2 linked regions of the Xenopus tropicalis genome follow. The protein of the gene in region 2 interacts with the protein of the main gene of each other region in a pairwise test. Links are inferred from orthologs where the notes say so. Each region holds a gene or a part of one and is shown on either strand. Other genes may lie near its edges.

Evidence for each region. The genes of interacting proteins can lie anywhere in the genome.
Region 1: the proteins of klhl2 (region 2) and bcam interact in binary tests that used the Homo sapiens proteins (3 or more experiments, as listed by UniProt). The two-hybrid records come from large-scale screens. The link is inferred for Xenopus tropicalis from reciprocal best matches to the Homo sapiens genes KLHL2 and BCAM.

Annotation. Positions count from the first base shown.
Region 1 is NC_030683.2:109,108,920-109,112,575, reverse strand, and holds part of bcam (basal cell adhesion molecule), read left to right. Parts: intron 1-165; coding exon 166-290; intron 291-506; coding exon 507-723; intron 724-2,036; coding exon 2,037-2,107; intron 2,108-2,295; coding exon 2,296-2,392; intron 2,393-2,802; coding exon 2,803-2,985; intron 2,986-3,656. UniProt on the Homo sapiens protein: Transmembrane glycoprotein that functions as both a receptor and an adhesion molecule playing a crucial role in cell adhesion, motility, migration and invasion.
Region 2 is NC_030677.2:51,312,567-51,316,222, forward strand, and holds part of klhl2 (kelch-like protein 2), read right to left. Parts: intron 3,004-3,656; coding exon 2,887-3,003; intron 1,348-2,886; coding exon 1,198-1,347; intron 348-1,197; coding exon 230-347; intron 1-229. UniProt on the Homo sapiens protein: Substrate-specific adapter of a BCR (BTB-CUL3-RBX1) E3 ubiquitin ligase complex that mediates the ubiquitination of target proteins, such as NPTXR, WNK1, WNK3 and WNK4, leading most often to their proteasomal degradation.

The DNA of each region.
Region 1 (3,656 bases), on a different chromosome or scaffold from region 2:
TGAAACTCCCACATTTATGTATTTGCCCTTCTATTCACTACAAACAACCCTAATGTTTTATTTGTTTGTTTTTTTTTACAACTACCTGAAGAGTATTAATTTCTCTTTCATTAAAACTTTTTAATTTAATTTTAATTAAACTAGTATTAAACCTTTCCCCCACAGGATGTTTCTGTGCGGTGACTGTTAATGTCCCTTCACCAATTGACGCTGAGATTGGGGATCAAGTGAACATCCAGTGTAAGCCATCGGCCGCCGGGTCACCCAAGTACAGTGTGGAATGGTTTGTGGTGAGTAATGGACAAATGACCTTTGGTGAGAGACCCCTATATCACAGTGAGAATTAATACTCTATTAGAGCAATGTAAAAAATAGATAATAAAATCATAGTCCATAGTACCATGGTCCTCTAGCCTGTACTGTCTAAATATTTATTTACTAACAGTTCCCTACTATGGGTTAACATGGGGCCTTTGGGTAAAATGTCCCTGCTATATACCATGCAGACAGATCAGTATGGGGACCCCCAGCGCATCGCATCATACAGCAATGGAAGAAGTATCACAGATCCAGGAACACAATACAGTGACAGAGTGTCGGTCAACGCTGAGCTCAGCCTGGTAATCAATGATGTACGTGTAGAGGACGAAAGGAGCTTTCTCTGCAAAGTGAATGCGGGGAGTGAAGGCACAGCTAAGGGTAGTGCTGACATGAAAGTGTACGGTGAGTTTAATAAGATGTAGATACATTTCCTTTCCTTTCATAGTAATATAATAACCATCAGATGGAGGCAAACTGAATGTACAGTGTTCTGGGGCCTACTTGCCCTTTCCAATGTCTGCCTAGCATTCTTGTGAATACACTATCTAGTGTCTGTCCTGGGGCCCAATGGACTGGAGGGCAACCAATATAGGGAAGCAGGGCATGATGATGCTAGGGCAGGTCCTAGCCCCCCCCCCCTTGTCTCCTAATGAAAGGTTCATCTGGGGTCTGATTGGTCAGCAGTACTTCGGGTAGAAGGATATTGGGGGTGGGCCTTAGTAGCAGACTCCCCACAGCAGGTTATTGAAGTCGCAGTGGCAGGAGTGGCTTGATTCTGAGCCACAGGGGTAATTAAAATGGGCAGTTGGCAAGGTAGGGGTAAATGGTAGGCCTGGAGTTCTGGGGAAGGTGCATAACTTTGGATAGGGCCTTGGACAGTAGTCTAGAAACAGGCTCCAGGCCTGGTTATGTAGGTCTTGTTATCTTGTAGTACAAACAATGTTGTTACAATAAGTTATAATGTTATATATATATTTTCTTCCCAACCTGTTGTCTGGTTTTGTGTGTATGGAGTAAGGTTGGGCAGGGGGTGGGTACTGCAAGCTCAATGCTGCACTCGTCATGTATTCTGTGGCTGGCCAATATTCTTGTATAAAATTACCAAGAATATCAAATGTCTATCCAAATCTGGATAGACATCTGTGGCCTGTTACTACTCTCTCTGTTGTTTAAAATACTTTGCAGAGCCTGCTTACTCTATCCACTCTATCTTACTCTGTCCTACATTTTGGGGTCTGCCTGCTCATTCTCTCCTGTGCCTGGCCAACATACTTACTTGTTCTGTCCATTGGCCAATTACTCGCTCTTTCCAATTTCTAACCAACAACAGTCTGGGACCATCTATCCAACACCTGTACAACATTCTGTGGTCTACATTTTTATTATATCTGTCTAACACTGTGGAGTTCTTTATCTCTCTCTCTCTAGCCAATACCTGTCCATTACCCTGAAGTTTTTTTTAATCACTGTATTCAATTCCTGCCAACTTATTCACACTGTCCAATGGCATTGCAGTATTCTTTGTGTCCAAAATTCTATTTCTATTCTCATTTTAATGTAACAACGACTTAATTAGTTATAAAGTTGCAAAATTCAACCAAATCAGTGGGTGCCTAGTGGGATAATTGCAAGGTTTATGGAAGTTTTGTAAAGGAAGTGATTTTTGGGATATTCAGATCTTATTCTAAGTCCTCTTTTCTTCTTACCTCTCTCAGATCCACCAGAAATGCCAGAAGTCTCCTTGACTGCAGGAATATTGTCAGTCACTGAATCGGATGCAGTGGAGGTGAGTGACATCTACTTCTTGTGATTTTATTCGATATCATTTAGTCCTTTACTTTCAAGCAATTTATGTTTCTGATATTTTAATAATAATTTATAATAGTTTATACTTCTCTTTGGAGGCTTCACACACCTATCAGTGCTGTATGTCTTCACATGTTCAGTTCCTTTCTTATAACTCTTCTTGATTAGATTGGAACCTGTATCGGTCGGAATGCATATCCTGCTCCAACTATTGAGTGGTACAAGGACAAGCAATCCCTAAACCCACCAAAAAGCCCAAACAAGGGTATGTGCAAAGGTCTTCAGACTTCTTAGCTTCTTACAGATTTCTTGGTGATTACAAACACTTGTGTTGTTCATGTCATGATGTAATAAATAAAAAAAAAAATAATTAGTTAAACTTTTGTTGGACCCCTATGGGGGGCCGGGCTGCCATTTTAGGAGCCTATATGTAATAAAAAAAAGTTGGGTTCAGTAACCCATTGAAACCACTCAGCAAATTGCCTTTAGTAGTTACCTGTTTGAATGCAAACATCTGTTAGGTTGCTACAGGTTACTAAACCTAGTGAAAACTGTGAGTAACAAGGATATTAGTTAAAGGTGCCATAGAGAGAGAGAGATAAGACACTGGTGTGTGAGAATAATCTGAGCATGTCTAATAATGAACCTTGTCTTTTTCTGCATTTGCTACGGCAGATCTGTACATGACCTCTCGCACCGTCAGGGAAGCCTCTGGTTTGTTTACGGTCTCCAGCACTCTCTTCTTAAGGCCAACGAAGCAAGATGCCGATTCTCAGTTTTCCTGTAGAGTTGTATATCCTGTACCCGGGGGATCTTTCAGCTTTATGGAATCTTATTCCTTTAATCTGACATTGCACTGTGAGTGAGGCCACTGCTTTATGTTACCTTTATTCCTTTTTTCCTTGCATGCCTTCCAAAAACAAATAATTCTCTTTGTATTTCTTCACCCTCCCTTTGGGTTAAAACAGACAGTAGTGTACTTTGTGTTAAAGAGCTATAACTTTGTATTACAATTTAAGGAATGTATATGCCCTATTCATTCTGTTCATAGCACTTAGAACCAAAATAGTTTGAACGTTGTCTCTTTGTGTGTGGTATCTTCCAACAGCTGTTGGGAATCCCTTCTGTGTGTTTGCATTCTGGTGTCTGGAATATACACCTTAAAGAGAAAGTAAAAATGCCTTGGCAATACTCTTGCAGAGCTGTAAAAGTGCAAGTGCTAGTGCTGGCCAATCATGGTCCCTGCAATAAAGAGAGCAATAAAGTAGAGCTTATGTGATCTTGCTTGACCTGCTTATTTCAGCATAGTCCCGTGCTTTAAATACCCATTCTTTTTCCACTGTGTCACAAATTAACTATGCATTGGAAACCACAGAGATAAAAATTAGCTTTTTTATTATTGTCTAAATATTCTGTTTTTATAGTACCTAAACAAAAATGTACAAATCAGAAACACTACTACAAAATAGTGTCAAATGCACAGATATTTATTGGATGTTAAAATTAGGAAAGGCAGAAAAAATCTAACA
Region 2 (3,656 bases):
GTGTGTGATGTAAAAGATATGCAGAATGGGTAAGTAATAAAGGAAACCTTAAATGAAATAAAGAAATACAAGTTCACCAAGACAAGAATGACATTTATACAATATTTTTAGCTAAACAAGAAACAAAATGTCTTATCACAATGCCAATAACCATTTTGTATAAGCCTCATATTAATTCAGTTTTGTATTTGGATTGGTTAACAGTGGAGTTGATTATGTTGAAACATACCTGATCTGCATCTCCTTGATGGCAGTTCAGCCAACTGGTGCCACTGCTCCTCTTTGAAATCATAGCATTCCACACTGCGTATAGCCTTAGGAGCCTGACCTCCAACAACTACCATTAGCTGAAAAGAAACCACATTACTGAACTCTGATATTGAAATTTACAGTATGCACATAATCTATAGACATTCACAAAATTCAGCCTTTCAGTGTAGATATATGAAAAAAATTAAAAAGTCATGAATTGCTAGAGAATCATAATGAAGATGTCACCTTAAACCCATCAAGGCTTTGGGCCTACCATTCCCTACGTCATTATCACTTTAGTAATGTGTAAACTGAAAGCAAAAGACTGTGTCCATTTTGGAACACCCTGTACAGGCTACCTCCTAATCTTAATATGTAGCAGGGTCGCTGATGTTATAAGGCGGTTGAGAAACTCTCTTCAGGTGGCATCAGCCCACAAGTTACCAGGGGCGGCAAAAAGCTATCTTCGGATTTGGCCGAACCCCTTGTGAAAGCTTTGGCTGAATACCAAACCTAATTTGCATATGCAAATTAGGATAATTAAGGGTAAAGAGATTCACACGTGCAGTGTATGGTGAAAATTTTTCAAAACTTCAAAATGTGACAAAATATCATGTGATTTAAAGGCTTTGGTTTGGCCAGGAGCATGATTCGGCAGAATACTGCTGAAAAAGCTGAATCTTGGCTGAAACCCGAACCTTATCCTGGATTCAGTGTATCCCTAAAAGAGAGGAAATTGCAATTGCACTCTCTGCACTAGCGATGAAGCAAGGAACCTGCTGCTTATATTAGATTTTGTTATCAGGACTTTCACTTGACGCACAAAATCACTCTCTATCCTATATTTTTTAATGAACTTGAACTACACTAACTAGTGCCTGCTAAAGATAATGGTTAGAGGTTTATCTATAAAATAAAAAAACAAAACATATGAAATAATGTTACCTTTGGCATGCTGACGGGTGTCCTTTGTCTGGTTCGGGCACTTTTTATCAATGTGCGTTGATCACCTGGGAGTAGGTGATACTTCATAGCTTCAATGAGGTAATCCTTGCAGGCACTGCTGTTTTTCACCAGTGTCTCTTCTTCAACCCTCTATAAAAACAATACCACAAACTGCATTATAGCAAATATTAACACAGTCCTTATTCTCCATTATTGCCTATTTTTTCATTTTATCTATTAAGACATGCACAAACTATGAACCATTTAAGGTAGAGAAATGACATCTTTCTAGTCAGTGGTAAGTAACTGTTGTAAAAGGTACTTCCATGCAATCTTACCTCAAGGGTTTGCGTTTGAGAATACACACAAGGTAAGGGTGAAGACACACTGAGCTACTTAGTAGCAGCTACTTGTCATGGCTACTAAACGCCAGAAAATTGGCAATACTAAGAATTGCTAAAACACACGTAGAGACTGTTATCAGTAAATGATCAGCATCATCTATTTTAGTTGCTGCAACAAGTAGCTGCTACTGGTAGCTCTGTGTGTCTTCACCCTAAGACAGACAACTGAACTGCATAAAAATGTAATGTGCACACCCACAGCAAAGAGAACTCTGCTGCAAACACAGCTTACAAAACATAAAATGATCTTTGTTTCCATGGGAATATAATCACTGAATAGGACATAAAAAATACACACAGTACAATGCAATAATGCAGCAAGGAAGTTACAAGATGATTTTTCTCTGTCACAGAAGGCATTTCTTGCTGTGCCATATTTCTGTCTTTGTTTTGGAATTATGAATTATAAAAAAAATAACACCGTTATATGTATAATATACATCAAGGAAGTTAAAATGACCGATGAATTTGAGGAAGTCACTCTATAGAGTGGTGGTCCTACTCCTTGGGTGAGGCTAAAGTTGGCCATACACATTCAGATTTAAGCTGCCGACTCAAGTCCTTCGGCAGCTTATCTGCCTGTGTATGGCGGACCCCTAATGGTCCTACCTGACCAAAATCTGGCTGAAAAGGTGTCGATAAGGCAGGTTTTTTTTTTCCTTCGGATCGGCTCACTGATGTAGTTCTCACTCCAACAGCTCCTATACCTGTTGTTGTAATAATAGGCCAAGTGAATTAGCACAATATTGCCCACCTTAGGTGGGCATATTGGGAGAAAACTCAGCTCATTTGGCAACCTCACCAAATGAGCGGATCCTTAAGGTGTATGACCACCTTTAGGGAGGGGAGATTTCTCCTCATCTCTGTACATAATCTTACCTCTACAATCATCTTACCTCTACAATCAGACGATAACTAGGTGGAGTTCAGATTTATCAGCTTATGGCAAGTTTCAAGAAGGACCCACTTTACTAAAAGGCTTGAAAGTTTGTGAATGCTTTAAAATGTTCTACGTGTGACCTAAAACATCATCCGATTTTCAAACAAGTCCTAAGTTTTTTCTGCAGGGGTGCCCGGCGCAACCAAGTAACACCACTGATCTCGGATATCATTTTATATATACAGATGAGAGATATATCCTTTAAATTTATATTGAGAACCAGAAAGCTCTAAGAAATAACAAAAAATAAATAAAAAGCAGAAAACCATAAAATATGAGTAAATGCGTTTAGAACATTTAAGTATCCAGGAAGCAGCAGTACATGCAACAGGATACAGTACCTACCTGTACAAGATAGTCCCGGGATAGCAGCGGGAGACGTACATGTTCCATGAGGTGAGACATATGCTCCTGCCGAACTTCTGTGTCATGATTTACCCAAACAATCACTGCTTCAAACACCTTTAGAGAATATACAATCAGTTAAAGCACCTCTGAAATTGCAATGCTTTCCATTACAGTTATGGAACAAGAGGCATTGACATGTCAGTCCTTGGTATATTAAAATATGAATATTAAAATAGTTCCAAATCCCACAATTCCCTGCACAGGTGATGTCAATAAGGAATGCATTGTGGGCTATGTAGTTCCTGCATGACGTCAATAAGCTGTGGAGATGTTGTTACAATTTGTAACATCAGCGTTTCAGTCCCTCCTCCCTTGCCAGGATTTCAAATGATACAGAAAGAGAACTGTTTTGCAGCTTAATTTCAGCATATAAAATTTACATTCATTCATGTTTTGAAGGAACAAATTTTGGTTTCAGAAGCCGGAGCTCCCCTATAAGTAAAAAAAAAATAAAAAAATGTAGCAATAATAATATTCTTATAGCCTCATATGAGAGCTTGATAGCTGCAAAAGAGAAATGCAAGTAATTCAGATATTAAAGATGCAGTTCCCCTTAAAAGGGTGGTTCACCTTTAAGTGAATATTTAGTATACTATAGAATATCCGATTCTTATCAACTTTCCAATCGTGCTTCATTTTTTAGTTTTTTGTTTTTATTTGCCTGTCTTTTTTTTTTTAATAATTGAAAACCCACAAATAAAAAAAAT